3 linked regions of the Struthio camelus genome follow. The protein of the gene in region 1 purifies or fractionates together with the protein of each later gene. This does not show direct contact. Links are inferred from orthologs where the notes say so. Each region holds a gene or a part of one and is shown in the gene's direction. Other genes may lie near its edges.

What was found.
Region 2: the proteins of COPE (region 1) and COPZ1 purify together in Homo sapiens (affinity purification with mass spectrometry; 3 studies listed by BioGRID and IntAct, with this or other methods). This does not show direct contact. The link is inferred for Struthio camelus from reciprocal best matches to the Homo sapiens genes COPE and COPZ1.
Region 3: the proteins of COPE (region 1) and COPB2 purify together in Homo sapiens (affinity purification with mass spectrometry; 4 studies listed by BioGRID and IntAct, with this or other methods). This does not show direct contact. The link is inferred for Struthio camelus from reciprocal best matches to the Homo sapiens genes COPE and COPB2.

What each region holds. Positions count from the first base shown.
Region 1 is NC_090967.1:6,125,086-6,130,441, reverse strand, and holds the start of COPE (coatomer subunit epsilon), read left to right. Parts: upstream 1-1,622; 5' UTR 1,623-1,724; coding exon 1,725-1,850; intron 1,851-2,146; coding exon 2,147-2,209; intron 2,210-2,633; coding exon 2,634-2,734; intron 2,735-2,936; coding exon 2,937-3,089; intron 3,090-3,580; coding exon 3,581-3,634; intron 3,635-4,150; coding exon 4,151-4,232; intron 4,233-5,356. Other genes in the region: probable ATP-dependent RNA helicase DDX49, read right to left, coding at 1-146, 245-366, 937-1,022, 1,111-1,234, 1,349-1,463. UniProt on the Homo sapiens protein: The coatomer is a cytosolic protein complex that binds to dilysine motifs and reversibly associates with Golgi non-clathrin-coated vesicles, which further mediate biosynthetic protein transport from the ER, via the Golgi up to the trans Golgi network.
Region 2 is NC_090969.1:2,884,699-2,890,054, reverse strand, and holds the start of COPZ1 (coatomer subunit zeta-1), read left to right. Parts: upstream 1-2,046; 5' UTR 2,047-2,089; intron 2,090-5,144; exon of another isoform or gene 5,145-5,172; intron 5,173-5,276; 5' UTR 5,277-5,356. UniProt on the Homo sapiens protein: The coatomer is a cytosolic protein complex that binds to dilysine motifs and reversibly associates with Golgi non-clathrin-coated vesicles, which further mediate biosynthetic protein transport from the ER, via the Golgi up to the trans Golgi network.
Region 3 is NC_090950.1:9,825,275-9,830,630, reverse strand, and holds the start of COPB2 (coatomer subunit beta'), read left to right. Parts: upstream 1-1,917; 5' UTR 1,918-2,017; coding exon 2,018-2,020; intron 2,021-3,465; coding exon 3,466-3,603; intron 3,604-3,716; coding exon 3,717-3,803; intron 3,804-5,356. UniProt on the Homo sapiens protein: The coatomer is a cytosolic protein complex that binds to dilysine motifs and reversibly associates with Golgi non-clathrin-coated vesicles, which further mediate biosynthetic protein transport from the ER, via the Golgi up to the trans Golgi network.

The sequences.
Region 1 (5,356 bases):
CTCTTCAGCTCATTCAGTGTATCGGTTAGCGTGGCACTGAAAAGCAACGTTTGTCTGCGTGCTGGAACAGCCTCTAGGATCACCTCCAGGTCCTCAGTGAAGTCAGTACATTCCTGCTCTAGCAGCCGGTCAGCCTCATCCAAAACCTAGACACAGCCAAAAAATAACCAACAGACTGTCTGCACTCATGCCTACGAAGCTAGGAATCTTAAAAGCAGAAACAAAACTAAATAAACTGCCCTACCAAGAACTTTAGCTTTTTAAGGCTGAAAGTGTTGGAGCTGCGGAGGTGATCTGCCAACCTGCCAGGTGTAGCAATGACAACATGGGGTTTGCGGGAGAGCTCTAGTGCCTGGGCCACCATGTCTGAAACAAAGAGCCATAGAACCAGGTTACAGGCAGCTGAACACAGACCCTAAATAACGTTTGGTCTGTGAAGTTGGGAAATACAACGCTCCCTATTTCTGCTACCCTCACACAGCCTTAGGCACAGAATAACAACTTCACAGCAAGAAGAAAACATAGCACGTAGAAAGAAAAGCGTCACCCACACACTGGATATCCAGTGACCCAGGAAAACAAAACTATTGTTCTGGGTTTAAAACGCTTACCATCCTTATGTCCTTTTATAACTCTTTGCTTCAAAAACAGCTGCCTACGTTTAAGGAAACACTCCCAGTTTAGAGATAAATCACACAGGCCTCTATCCACAGGGACAAAAGGACAGTAAGCCTCTCTAACAACGACTACCTATCTCCATCCAGCTGCTGCAGGGAACAGGCTGCCAAAAGAGAGGCGATTTCCGATGCATTTTGGAGAATTTGGCCCCCACTTGCTCACCCAGTGTTTTGTTCTTTACCAGCCCTGCCCGCACCGGAGGCGGAGAGGACCAGCAGAGGCCCCACGCGGCCCCAACCTCGGGGCAGCGCCACTCACCCAGGCCGCCCACCACGACGCAGTCCTTCAGGCCGAGGGGCTTCCCCAGGACGCGGAACTGCTCGGCGATCTGGTAGGCCAGCTCCCTGCCGAGGGAGAGAGAGCTCAGGCGGGGCCGGGCGCCGCGGCGGGGCCCTGCCCCAGGGGCCGGGGCTCCCCGGGACCCCTGCGCACCTCGTGGGCGTCAGCACCAGGCAGAAGATGCCGTAGGGGTCCTCGGAGAGCGCCTGCAGCACGGGCAGCACGAAGGCCGCCGTCTTCCCGCTGCCCGTCTTGGCGCAGCCCAGGCAGTCGCGACCTGCGCGGGAGGCAGAAGCAGGCGGGCCGTTAACGGCCGCCGGCAGCCCTTCAACGGCCGCCGGCAGCCGTTAACGGCCACCGGGGCGCCGCGAGCGGCGGCGGCCGCGCTCACCCTGAAGCACGGGCGGGATGCAGGCGGCCTGCACGGCCGTGGGCCGGCTCAGCCCCACCTGCCGCGCCTGCTCCACCAGCCAGGGCGCCAGCCCCAGCTCCCGGAAGGCCGCCATGATACCGCTGCCGCTGCCACTGCCGGCCAGGCCGCCGCCGCCGCCGCCACCCCCCCCACTTCCGGCCTACGCGCTGCGCGTCACCGCCCCGCCCGGCCTCCTCATTGGCTGCCTTCTCTCTGCACCCACTTCCGGCGCCCGCTCTGGCGTCATCGCCCCCGGCACGCCCATTGGTTGGGGGGAGAGGAGCGTCCTGTGACGCTAGCTCCCGGCAGCCCTCGCGGCCCAGCTGCTTCCGGAGACGTGTCTGAGGGGAGGGAAATGGCGGCCGGGGGGGGCGCGGGCCCTGCCGGCCAGGGCGGCGATGCGGACGAGCTCTTCGACGTAAAGAACAACTTCTACATCGGTGCCTACCAGGCCGCCATCAACGAGGCGCAGCGGGTCAAGGTAGGGGTGGCCTAGAGGGGGCCCTGGCGCCATGTGTCCCCCCGGCTCCTCTCCCCCGGGCCCGGCCTCCCCTCAGCCGCCCTCTCCCCGGAGCCCCTCGCCTCGCCTCGCCTCGCCGCAGGCTGTCTGCGCTGCCGCTAGCGTCTCTCCTCTCCTGCAGCGCCCCCCGCCCCCGGTGTGGGGGTCTCGTCCCACGGTGCAGCCTGGCGGGGCCGTCCGTGTGGGACTGCGCTGCTCAGGGCTCGGGTTATGGCTGCACGGGTTGCTGAGAAAGGTCTTTTTTGTCGTCCCGTCAGCCGTCTAATCCGGAGAAGGAGGTGGAGAGGGATGTTTTCTTATTCCGAGCCTACATTGCCCAGGTGAGGTTACAAATGCTGCATATGCAGTAGTCTAGCGTTACTGTGGGGCTGGAATCCAGAACTTGTGAATCTGAGTCCTGCAAATTCAGTGCCGTGCAATTTCTAGTAATTCCTCCTTCAGTGTTGGAACGTAACGTCCGCTGGAACAGACACGGAACATGCAGTAGTGCAGTTATGAACGCGATGTGTTGTGTCTAGGGTCAGTGCAACCTGATGAGACCTCTTTGAGAGGTACTTCTTTATTGTTAACACAGTGTAGAGGGGGGAATAATTCTTTATAGGGTTATGAAATCTGACTGTGTACAGTGCGATGGGAGATGTAAAATAGGAAGGGGAGGGGTGGTGTCTAAGGTTTACAGAACAAACTATTCCTGCTTGTGTTCTTAAAATGAATAAATTCTAGATTCTTTTTTGTCTTCAACAGAGAAAATATGGTGTTGTCCTGGATGAAATTAAAGCCAATGCTAGTCCTGAGCTCCAAGCAGTAAGGATGTTTGCTCAATATCTTTCAAATGAGGGTCAAAGGTAAGTCTGATAATAAGTTATAACACTCACGCACTGTCAGGGAATATATTTTCCTATGGAGAATTTCTAATAGAAGTGTAATCTTTATTATGGCTGTCTGTGGTTCTGCCACGAATCTCAAAAACGTAGAATTTTAGGGGGTAAAATCTTTTGGCGTTATTTAGTAATAAAACGCTCAAATTTTTACTACTGCTCTTCACAGAGATGCAATTGTTGCTGACTTGGACAAAAAAATGGCAAAAAGTGTTGATGTAGCTAACACTACTTTCTTGCTGATGGCTGCTTCCATCTATTTCCATGACAAAAATCCTGATGCCGCTTTGCGCACTCTACATCAAGGGGAAAGCTTGGAATGGTAAGTGTAATTCAATATGACATCATTGAGGTGTGTGTTAGCAAAGTCTCTGTTGTCTAGGGAGAGTTACCATAGAAATGGCAGAGATCTGGCTTGTCTCTAAAAAGCTTTGAAACCATTAAGAAACTGTTTTGAGGATTGTCTTCCAAGCAGTAAGTGACTTGGTGCCTGTCCTGCAATAGAAAGTATATTGTACCTTTGTGAAACTTTAGAATTTGATTTTTTTTTTTTTTTTGGAACAGTACTTGTTCGTGGTTGCTCAAATGAGCATTATGGTGTTACAGCAACAGAATATTTGGGAGCTAGAAGCAAGCTTCCCTGTTCTGTGTCCCAGTGATTGTTCTCCCTGCTTTATTGGTTTTCCGCTGCAGGGAGACTTGTCCCTAGTCTCCGGTAATACATCTGTCTCCTATGCAGTAGGTTCCCAAGCAAAGTGTAGGGAGCAGTAGAGCACGCAGCTGTGAAAATCACTTTCCCTTTGTTCCTTGCAGCATGGCAATGATGATACAGATTCTTCTGAAGCTCGACAGGCTTGATCTAGCCCGGTAAGTTTGCCTCTTGTATGCACCCCTTTGTTTCTGAACAATATTCTTGCAGTGGGCTTAAAAAAATTTGAAGTCCTTGATAAGAGAATTTGGATCACCTAGCAGCGCTTTAACACATGCAATGGGCAGAAGAAACTGTGTCTGGGTATGGGTGCACTGTGCAAAATTCCTGTTCGTCATGATGCAAGAACTTTGGAGATAATCTAGCTGGATACAGCTAAAGGAAGAAGCTGTCTCCTAGACTTAATTTCGCCTTTGCTAGAGGGTGATTTGAGTCTCTAGTCATGGGTTATTAGCTTCCCAAAAGGAAGTTAAACAGGGAGGGAACACTCTTCCACAGACTTGTTTCAGCAAAATATCGTAAAGGTTTTGTGCCACATTACCAGGTTGCTGTGGCTGTTTGCTAGAGGGAGAGAAGAGTTGACAGAGGGAACTGCAGCCTTTTGTTTGTATCTGAAAGAACTCCAGAGGATGCATTATCTTTCTGTTACATGGCTCCCACTTTTGCTTCTGCAGCAAGGAACTTAAGAAGATGCAGGAGCAGGACGAAGATGCAACTCTTACTCAGCTGGCTACTGCCTGGGTGAACCTAGCCATAGTGAGTAGCCTAGACAGGGGTCCCTAGTGTACAGCGTCTGAGGAAACGTTGTCCAGAAGCACAGCACTGGCACAAGACTCCATGTTGTATTCCTGATTGCTCTTGTCACGTTGTGCCTTCAGGGAAGCATGTCGTTTGGCAGAGGGGGAGGGAAAGGGGGGTTGTCTTGTTTTTGGAGGAGAGGGGTACTTTTTTCTTTTTTTTTTTCTCTCTCTCTCTTTGTTACCATGGAAATGTATTTTTTCCTTCAAGTACCCGGAGGATATTTGCAGCTGACTTTTCAGGCTGCCTGGCTGTTTTGACTGTTGGCCTTTTCATGTGTGCTATTTAGCCTTTAACTCGCATAGGGCAGAGCTAAACCACAGTTTAAATAATTCATGAAACATCATAATGTGAAATGGAAAGCTGCAGTGCGACTAGCATCCAGGCCTTGCAATTGAACTCCAGACAAAAATGTAATTCTCTGCTCACAGCAGATTGTCCTTAAGCACGTTTGTGATTCTAGGAATAGCAGGACAGTGCTCGCTAAACTCAATTTCAGTGATAAAACCAGCTGCCATAGCTCCTCGTTTGCCCTCAGCACTGGTTTCCTTTGCTCAGCAAGATGTTTGGCACTTTTGGTCTTTTATTCTTTAACTTCCCTCCCATCCAAGGAAACCTGTCTCTGCACAGCTAAAAACTTGCCTTTCACCTTGTTACTGCTCTCCATTGAGCCTTTTGATGCTCACCACTGGCTGGCAAGAATTTTATTTACAACTAAGCATTTGAAATGGGCAGCCAAAAACATATACTGTCTGGCAGTCCCGATATCAGGTATTTAGAAATAAGTAGTCTCCTAAAATTTGGTCAAGACCGAAGCATGCATGCAGTAACCTACTGTGAAGCTGCTAAGACTATTTTAGCACACGCTTGGCCTTGTTATGAAATCTTTCACAGATGGTCCTTGCCTTACAATAGCGTATGGCTATGTTTTCCTTAAGATCTTACTTTCCACTAGGGACCCCACCTTAGTTTTAGCCAGTGGAAGCTGCTGCATGTAGAACCTTTCTGAAGCTGGAACTTTTTGGAAAGCCAGATGTCTGTACCTTCATGTAGTTACAAGGTCTCATGTCATAATGCCTTAA
Region 2 (5,356 bases), on another chromosome or scaffold:
CCCCGCCCCCGGCTGGGCGCAGGACGCCTGGGTCCCACTTCTGCTTTTGGGGAGGGGGCCACCCGCTTGCGCCAGCCCGTTGCCCAACGCCCGCCGAGGGGTTGCACAAGACCCAACCGACGAGCGGCAGCCGCCCTGGCCGTCCCCCCCCGCCACCCCCGTGTCCCCTGGGGGTGTCAGCACGCCGCCGTGTCCCCCAGCTCGGGTGCCACCCCTGGGCCACCCCTCGCCCTGCACCAGTGCCGCACACGGGGGTCCGGCGGCGGTGAGGCACCCGGGGCACCCTGCAATAACACGGCCCCCTGGAGACCCTACAATAACACAGCACCCGGGGCACCCTGCAATAACACGGCACCCTGGAGACCCTGCAATAACACAGCACCCGGGGCACCCTGCAATAACACGGCACCCTGCAGACCCTACAATAACACAGCACCCGGGGCACCCTGCAATAACACGGCACCCTGCAGACCCTACAATAACACAGCACCCGGGGCACCCTGCAATAACACAGCCCCCTGGAGACCCTACAATAACACAGCACCCGGGGCACCCTGCAATAACACGGCACCCTGCAGACCCTACAATAACACAGCACCCGGGGCACCCTGCAATAACACGGCACCCTGCAGACCCTACAATAACACAGCACCCGGGGCACCCTGCAATAACACGGCCCCCAGGAGACCCTACACAAACACGGCGCCCTGCGCTGGCGCAGCCACTGCAGCCGGCCGGGCCGGGGCCGCCGGGGCCCTTTCCGCCCCCGTTTCCCGTCGTTACCCGCCGGCCGGGGCAGCTGGAACCGCAGGGCCCCGGCGCCGTTATCGCCCCGCGCCGGCGCTGGCGCCGCGCCCCGCGTGTGCCCCGGCCCCGCTGCGGGCAAACCGCCCCGGCGCTCGCACACGCGTGTGCCGAGAGCTGGGCACGGAAACCTGCGTAGCCAACGCCGGGCACACGCACTGGTCCGCAGGTGCACGCGTGCACCGAGCCCTGGGCACACGCGTGCACCAGACCCAGGGCACACGCATGCACCAGACCCAGGGCACACGCGTGCACCAGACCCAGGGCACACGCATGTACCAACCCCTGAGCACACGCTTGCACCAGACCCAGGGCACACGCATGTACCAACCCCTGAGCACACGCTTGCACCAGACCCAGGGCACACGCATGTACCAACCCCTGAGCACACGCTTGCACCAGACCCAGGGCACACGCATGTACCAACCCCTGAGCACACGCTTGCACCAGACCCAGGGCACACGCATGTACCAACCCCTGAGCACACGCGTGCACCAGACCCAGGGCACACGCATGTACCAACCCCTGAGCACACGCGTGCACCAGACCCAGGGCACACGCGTGCACCGATCCCTGGGCACACGCATGCACCAGACCCAGGGCGCACGCGTGCACCGAGCCCTGGGCACACGCTTGCACCAGACCCAGGGCACACGCATGTACCAACCCCTGAGCACACGCGTGCACCAGACCCAGGGCACACGCGTGCACCGAGCCCTGGGCACACACGTGCACCAGACCCGGGGCACACACGCGTGCACCGACCCTTTTGCACATGCGTGCACTGATCCCTGGGCACACACATGCACCGGCCCCTGAGCACACGCGTGCACCAACCCCTGGGCACACACATGCACCAGACCCAAGGCACACGCGTGCACCGAGCCCTGAGCACACGCGTGCACCGATCCCTGGGCACACGCGTGCACCGATCCCCGAGCCCGCGCCTGCCCTGACCCCGGCCCACGTCCCCCAGCCGTGTGGCCCCGTGTCGCCCCACGGGAGCACACGCGTGTCCTGCCGCGCGGGCTCCTACCTGCCGCGGGTCACCGCCGGCGTCCGGGGGCTGGTGCTCAGGGCACGGCCATCGCGGGCGCCTCTGGGGACACGGCGGGGACACGGCGCAGCGCCAGCCCCCGGGGCGGCCCCGGCCCCCGCCCGCCCCCGGCACCCGCCGCAGGGACACGGGCACGGCGGGGGGGGACGGGACATGGGGACAGGGGAATGGGGGGTGCAGGGACAGGGGACGTGGGGGACACGGGGACAAGGAGACACGGGGACAGGGGTGAGGATGGGGACTTGGGGACATGGGGGCAAAGAAAGAGTGGGGGACAGGGGGACAGGGACAGAGGGGGGACCTGGGGCAACAGGACATGGGGACAGGGATGGGGACATGGGGACAGGGATGGGGAGGGGACAGGGATGGGGATTTGGGGACAGGGACAAGGATGGGGACAGGAGATGGGGGACAGGGGGCAGGGACGGGGTGGGGACACGGGGATGGGGGAGTGGGGGACATGAGGACAAAGGGACATGGGGATGGGGACATGGGACAGGGACAAGGGGACATGGGGACAGGGGAATGGGGGGCACAGGGATGGGGACAAGGGGACAGGGAGGGGGACTTGGGGACATGAGGACAGGGACAAGGATGGGGACAGGAGACGGGGGACGGGGACAGGGTTGGGGACACAGGGGACACAGCTCCCCCCCCCCCAGCAGGGCCCGGCGTTATCAGTAGGGCCCAGGGCATCCGCCCCCCCCCCCCCCCCCCGCAGGGGGCCCAGGCGTCCGGCCCCCCCCCCCCCATGGCGTGTCCCTGCGCGTGCGTGGCCGCCCCGTGTCCCCCTCCGTGTCCCTGCGTGTCCACGTCCCCCCGGCCCTGCACGTCGGGTTGGCCCCGTGTCCGTGTCACCGCGTCCCCCCCCCCGGTCCCCCCGTCCGCGTTGTGCCCACCACCGTCCCCCGTGTCCCTGTTGACCCCGTGTCCATGTCCCTGTCACCACGTCCCCCTGTCCCCTGTGTCCGTGTTGTCCCCGTGTCCATGTCCCCCTCCCCATCTCTCTGTGTCCCCCATGCCCATGTTGACCCTGTGTCCCTGTCCCCATGTCCCCTGTGTCCCTCTCCCTGTCTCCAACGTGTCTCCATGTCCCCATGTCCATGTTGACCCCTCACCCGTGTCCCTGTCCCCGTGTCCCCCATGTCCATGTTGACCCCTCACCCGTGTCCCTGTCCCCGTGTCCCCCATGTCCATGTTGACCCCTCACCCGTGTCCCTGTCCCCATGTCCCCCATGTCCATGTTGATCCCTCACCCGTCTCCCTGTCCCTATGTCCCTGTGTGCTCATGTCCATGTTGACCCTACGTCCCCCAAGTCCCCGTGGCCGTGTTGACTCCATGTCCCCACGTCCCCATGTCCATGTTGACCGCTCGCCCGTGTCCCTGTGTCCCCATGTCCCCCATGTCGTGTCCGTGTCCCCGTGTCCCCCCGTCCCCCCTGTCCCCGTGTTCCCCCGTCCCCCATGTCCCCGTGTCCCTGCAGTGTCCTGCGGCCCTGTCGAGCCCGTGGCCCTGTCCCTGTGTCCCCCCCGTGTCCCCCGATGGCCGTGCTGATCCTGTCCCTGTGTCCCCATGTCCCTGTGTCCCCCTGTCCCCCGTACCCCGTGTCCCCATGTCCCCCTGTCCCCCGTGTCCCCCCGTGGCCGTGTCCCCGCAGCATCCTGCGGCCCTGTCCCCGTGTCCCCCCCGTGTCCCCCCATGGCCGTGCTGATCCTATCCCTGTGTCCCTGTCCCCCATGTCCCCCGTCTCTGTGTCCCCCTGTCCCCCGTGTCCCCCTGTCCCCGTCCCCCATGTCCCCGTCCCCCATCTCCCCGTCCCCCTGTCCCCGTGTCCCCCCCGTGTCCCCCCATGGCCGTGCTGATCCTGTCCCTGTGTCACCGTCCCCCATGTCCCCCGACCCTGTGTCCCCCTTTCCCCCGTGTCCCCATGTCCCCCTGTCCCTGTGTCCCCCCGTCCCCCATGTCCCCGTGTCCCTGCAGCATCCTGCGGCCCTGTCGAGCCCGTGGCCCTGTCCCCGTGTCCCCCCCGTGTCCCCCCATGGCCGTGCTGATCCTGTCCCTGTGTCCCTGTCCCCCATGTCCCCCGTCCCTGTGTCCCCCTGTCCACCGTGTCCCCATGTCCCCCTGTCCTCCATGTCCCCCGTGTCCCCATGTCCCCCTGTCCCCGTGTCCCCCCCGTGTCCCCCCATGGCTGTGCTGATCCTGTCCCTGTGTCCCTGTCCCCCATGTCCCCCGTCCCTGTGTCCCCCTGTCCACCGTGTCCCCATGTCCCCCTGTCCTCCATGTCCCCCGTGTCCCCATGTCCCCCTGTCCCCGTGTCCCCCCCGTGACCCCCATGGCCGTGCTGATCCTGTCCCTGTGTCCCCGTCCCCATGTCCCCCGTCCCCATGTCCCCCTGTCCCCCGTGTCCCCCTGTCCCCCGTGTCCCCATGTCCCCCGTCCCCCTGTCCCCCGTGTCCCCGTGTCCCCGTCCCCCATGTCCCCCTGTCCCCGTCCCCCATGTCCCCGTGTCCCCCGTCCCCCTGTCCCCCGTGTCCCCCTGTCCCCCGTCCCCCTGTCCCCCTGTCCCCCGTGTCCCCCTGTCCCCCGTGTCCCCATGTCCCCCGTCCCCCTGTCCCCCCTGTCCCCCGTGTCCCCGTGTCCCCGTCCCCCATGTCCCCGTCCCCCATGTCCCCGTGTCCCCCGTCCCCCTGTCCCCCGTGTCCCCCTGTCCCCCGTGTCCCCCTGTCCCCCGTCCCCCTGTCCCCCTGTCCCCCGTGTCCCCCTGTCCCCCGTGTCCCCATGTCCCCCGTCCCCCTGTCCCCCCTGTCCCCCGTGTCCCCGTGTCCCCGTCCCCCGTGTCCCCCTGTCCCCGTCCCCCATGTCCCCCTGTCCCCCGTGTCCCCCTGTCCCCCGTGTCCCCGTGTCCCCGTCCCCCATGTCCCCCTGTCCCCCGTGTCCCCCTGTCCCCCGTGTCCCCGTGTCCCCGTCCCCCATGTCCCCCTGTCCCCCGTGTCCCCCTGTCCCCCGTGTCCCCGTGTCCCCGTCCCCCATGTCCCCCTGTCCCCCGTGTCCCCGTGTCCCCGTCCCCCATGTCCCCGTCCCCCATGTCCCCGTGTCCCCCCCGTGTCCCCCCATGGCCGTGCTGCTCCTGTCCCTGTGCCCCCACGGTCCCCCCTCCCCCCACCTGACCCCAGAGAGGCCAAAGGTCAAAGGTAACGGCCTCGCGCCCACTGGGGGTCATGACCCCGTTGGGGGCGTGGCCAAGCAACATGCGGGAAATGCTTCCGGTCATGTGATTAGCAGCCCCGCCAATCGCCTAACGCGACTGGTAAGGCTGGTTGCGTCAGCGCTTCTTCGGTTGCCATGGGAACTGCGCCTCCCTCCGCTTTCCAGGGACGGTGACTGACAGCCCTCATGTCCAATCACCGATAGATTTCGGCGGCTCGAGAAAGGAGGAACTTCGCCCGGCCCGCCCCCCAAGCGAACCTTGCGCTGATTGGCCAGACTTCAGA
Region 3 (5,356 bases), on another chromosome or scaffold:
ATTGAATGTCTTTTTAGAGATGGCCCAAGGGCTTGTTGCAGTCACTTTGCCTATCACCCAGGTGAAATAATGGCTAATAAGGAGGATACAGAGGGAAAAAACATGAAAGAAAAGCGTATACAAAATAATACTCCTCTGTATAGCCATTTAATTTACAGCAATTTGTGGATCATGATCTTGAGTCAGAACTGGTATCCTTGTGTTGAATAGCTGGGACAGACATTCCATATCCTTATAGTATAGAAATTTTTTTTTCATTGCTTCTCTCCTACTGTAAGGTCATCCTTGTCCCTGTGCCTCCCTTCTGAATTTAGTTCTGTTGCTATAACTTTCCAGGAGGAGTTGATGCAAACAGCAAACAAATTTCTTCCTTTCCCAGCTGTTATTGTCTTGACTAACTAGCTCTGTCTCTTCACCTGTCACTTACCTTCCTTGCTATCTTCGATTCTTCTATAATACCCTCATCTGTCTCTGGCCAGGACCTTGTTGAGCTCTTCGAGGGAAAATATACAATGTGTGTTTTTCTACCCCCACTACCTATGTTCTCTAGTACTGACGTCTTTCCCCTATATTTCTTCTTTCAGTGTTCCAGCCTGTTCCAAACACCTCAGCTGTCTAAAAACCATGAATTAGACTCGAAAATCATAAATTTTACTCACATCATTACTTTTAAGCAAGCTTGTTTAGATTCTACATCCTGAAATTCTGTACTCAGATGTGTTGAAGCATTTTTCCACAATCACTACTATAAACAGGCTTTAAATGAAAGCTGAAATTCTATGTTCTCATGTATACATGAGCTTAAACTCACCCATAACTGCTGAAAACATTGCAACCCTTCTTTTGCTTCTGGCATCTCTCTTCTCGTTCACTCATCAGGCCTGTGTCTTTCTAATTTTAGGTATCTGTCTTTCTGTCTTTGCTCTCTTGGAGTGAAAATAGCAAGAGGTAAAGTAACCTCTCACCCTTTTGTTTCTATGTCCATCAAACCGTGCGCGCTCCAGGGCAATGCAATCCTTCTTCCTGCGTTGTAGGATAGAGCACAGTGGGCTCTCAATTCTCAACTGAGTGCTTAAATTGTATCATCGTAAGCATTTTCTTTAACGGAAACCTAACGAATATAACTATCCTTCTTGTAATTTCTCTCCTTTGTAGAATTAAATGGGGCTTGTAATCTTCAACTGAAGATGGAACTTTTATCTGGCAAACAGTGCTGGAGCAGAATTTTTCAGCGATGGTTCCCCGTGTTTTGGTGCTGCCTGAAATTTCACATTCACCATAATGTTTCTAAGACACTCTGTTTTGGGTAACAGCATGGGTAACTTTAGGTGACAAAAAGATTTATAAAAGGAAAAACCTGCCAGGCAGTGTTTCACATCTACAGGGTCTGCAGGACTGACCAAGATCAAGTCTTTTCACGGCCCGAGAGAGGTCAGCTGGGCTCCTTCCAGCAGCCTGCTCCAGGGCCCCGCTGCGCTCACCACACGGGCCCCAGCCCCTCTGGCCAATGCCACCCTGAAGTGCTTGGAGAGACCACGCTGAGCAGGCAAAGGTGACCAAAGGACCTTTCTCTTCCCCGGGTCGCTCACACTTGGGCAAAGCACACCGGCTTTCCACCGCCGTCTCTAACCGTGAGGGGACCTCACGCGAAGGATTGTCCCTGAGGACGGTAAGGGCCCCACCGCAGCGCCCGCCACGCACAGCGCAAACGCCGCCGCAGCCGTTAGGACCGTTACGGCCGCTCTGAGGCGACAGCACGCGCGCGCTCCCGCTCCCGCTCCCGCGCCCACTACAGCTCCCAGCGTGCCCCGCGACAGCAGCCGGGAGGGGGGAGAGGCAACTACATGTCCCGGCATGCCGTGGGAGGGCTGCTGCCGTATCGCGAGGGGCGAACTCTCGCGCCGGTCCTCTCGCGAGAGCAGCGGGGCGGAAGCTCCACGTCGGTCGGTCGGTCGGTCGGCGGTGGCTGGCTGGGGCTGAGCGACACCTGGGCGCTGCCGCGGGGCCACTCGGGGCGATGGTGAGCGGGGCCGGGGGCCCGCGGTCACCGCCGGGGCCGGGCCGGGCCGGGCCGGGCCGGGCCCCGCTGTGTGAGGGCGAGCGCGGCGCGGCGCGGCGCGGGGGGCGCGGCGGGGGGCGCCGGTGCAGGCCGGGCCGGGCCGGGCCGCGGAGGTGGTGTCGGGCGCTCCCAGAAGCGGCGCAGGCGGGGGTCAGTGTGGGGAGGAGCGCCCTGCCGGGGGCCGCGCAACGCCACCGCCGAGGGGCGGTTTGGGGCCCGCCGGGGGCCCCCTCGGGCACGAGGCAGGGGCGAGTCGGTGCCCGGTCGTCTCTTGCGGCGGTGGCGTCGGCGGGCAGACCCCCCGGCTGCCGAAGTAGCTGCCGTGGAGGTTACCGTTAGCCGCTTATGTTAGAGAAGTTTCAGGGAGCGAAGGCAGAATCGCATGCGCTTTGTCTGGCCTGCTTTTGTAGTGTTTATCGCAGAAACGGTAAACCACAAGTTCGTTCCCTGCCGTCAGGTGTCATGACTGCAGGTTACATGATAGCGAGGTGTTTTTTCCTCCTTATGCTGCCTAACACACGCACCTGCAGGTTTTGCTGGTTTTGTTCTGCTACTCAGGACGAGGCACGTAACGTGTTCAGCGATCAGAGAGGACCCGTCCGGTTCTGAGATGAGATGCTGTTCAACAGCGTCTTGCGTCACCCTTGAAAATCCTTAGGCTATTTTTGAGCTGACGAGCCTTAAGTAAACTCAACAGTTTTTGAGTGTCTGGACAAAGTTATAGTGCCTCAGAAGTTTTAGAAAATCGCTTTGCTGTACTTCGTGCCTTTTGAATTTTAGGTACTTTAGCATTAGACTGCCAGTGATGAAAGTGGAAAGTCACAGCCTGCCTTTTTAATAGGAAGACTTAAACTTTTCCTTTCTACCGGTTTTTACTACATAGTATTACATCTGAAAACTTGTTAGAGTAGAAGAACTTGGTGAATGCAAATTGGTAATGGGCAAGTGTTGTTACATTATTGGTTCTTTCAGTTGTGATAACTAGCTTCTCCACCTGTATTTTCAAGTGAAAGAGAAGGAAGACTTGTATTTTAATGTTTGTATTAGAAGCAAATTCTCTTAACTCTGATTTAGTAGTTCAGGGACATCAGGGAGCTTTGTAAGGAGCTGTGCGGTGCATCTTTTCTTTGCCTGTGCTGTAGATACTACTTACAGTAAGAAAACACTTAAACGTTCACAAAAGTAAATTAAAGGGACCCATTGATATTGGTAGGGATGTGTTTTCAGAAACTTCTACAAAAACAGGCAGACAGGCAGATAAGAGAGAAGTAGCCTCCTTTCTGAAAAGCAGGATTGGCTCCAGTTGTTTTAAGGTTTAACTTCAGCTTTCCTTTCCTTCCATGATGTTTTTATGTTGAATTTATGTTGGAATAACTCTGGTATTGTGAACTTTTTTTCGTTTCTAGCCTCTCCGACTTGATATAAAGCGGAAACTAACTGCTCGGTCTGACCGGGTGAAGAGCGTAGACTTGCATCCCACAGAGCCATGGATGTTGGCTAGCCTTTACAATGGCAGTGTCTGCGTTTGGAATCATGAAACACAGGTGATGTTTTTGTTTTTCCTCTATTGTGTATGAAATACATGTTCTGATGCTAGATACACAAGAAGGATCTTAAATTACTACAAATAATTAATATAATTCTTTTTTTTTCTTAGACGCTGGTGAAGACCTTTGAAGTGTGTGACCTGCCAGTGAGAGCTGCCAAATTTGTGGCAAGAAAGAACTGGGTTGTTACAGGAGCTGTAAGCTATCTTCTTCTTGTGATTTCTGTATATAGTACCATTTTCTGTGATTTGTTTTCATGGCATTCCTTTGTATGTCACTAAGTAGTAGGATTTCATATGAATTTGTAGAAGAGAGAAATAATTCATTATGGTTACCCAGAGATTTTCTCCTTTAAGTTAGCTTTAAAACTTTTAAAAAAAAAAAAAAAAAAAAAAAGAGAGAGAGCATAATGATGTGGCTAATTCTAGATCTGGTGCACAGTAAATCTGGATTCAACTTTAGCTGTCAGCTTGAACGCATTCAGCACCCAAATTTGGCTAAATGTTAGTAGTGCTGCTGTGACTAAGCTGAAACGCTAGACCATCCAAGGTAAAATGAGTTAAAAGTTGCTTTCTGCTTTTGTTCCCGTTTATATTTAAAATAAAAAGTTTAAGAGACGTTTTGTTGGTCTCTAGAAAAATACTTTGCTTTTATTCAGTTAGGTTAGTACTTTAAGCTGAATAGTTGTATTCTAAGCTTGATAACATGTATTTTGTGATGGAATGAACATCGACCAGTTATTCTATATTATTATTACGGCAAACTGAAACAGTAATTATGTCTCAGTTAAAACATTAACAGTATCTTAATGCAGTAACTTCTTACAATTGCATGTATGGAGGCCTCTCCAATATGTTCTTGAATCAGCCTTTAGATTGGTGGTTAAAAAGTTGTACGTGGAAAGCATAAGTAAGTAGACACAGTTGGCTGAAAAGTCAAAGTTTTCTCCACTTATTTTTTTAATCTAAATTGAAGTAATACTTAAAATTTTTATCTTTAAATGTTTTCATTCTAGTCTTCTGCCATAAGAGAGAGAGTAAACAATTTCTTGTTGTTATGTCACGTTTTGTTGCCATGTCACAGTTACTTCAAGTAGGCATAAGTCAGCACTGTTGCCTAAGAGGTTCCATGCTGTTGCTTCTCTACCAGCACAAGAGTTCAAACAGCTGTGTGGGAACTGGCTTGGGAACTGATCCAAGTTAACTGCATTTTTATTTTTGCCAGATTAATTTCACCTAGGTTGGTTCTTCAAAGAACTGATTCACGGTACAGTTGTGCCAGTCTTTGATTTGCCAAGGGAGGCTGTGATGCAGTGGCAAGATGTAGTAAGGAAAGGGCAAGACAGAGGCTTTCAGCAGCAGGGCCAAGGCCTCATCACAGTGACTCTGAGAAAGTGACATCAGTCTGCTTGTTCTTTGTCCCATGCTTGTTACACTGATAGGCGGATCTCGAAGAACACATGTCATTTTGTGCTTTCTGAAGGGTGTTTTTTGGAGTTGTTGCCACTTAAGCGGGAATTTATATGAAAGAAGAAAAGACAGTGGATAAATATTTACCTTGGATAAAGCATTTAGCATAGAATTTACCCAAATACATAAATTTCACTTACTCTGATGGTCTTATATGCCATGGGTACTATTGAAAGTTTTAACTCATGTTTTTTCCTTGTCAGATAACTCTTCAAAATTTGATCTTCAAAGAAGGTTCAGGAATACCACTTTTGAGAGAATACCATATCTGAAATCAGGAC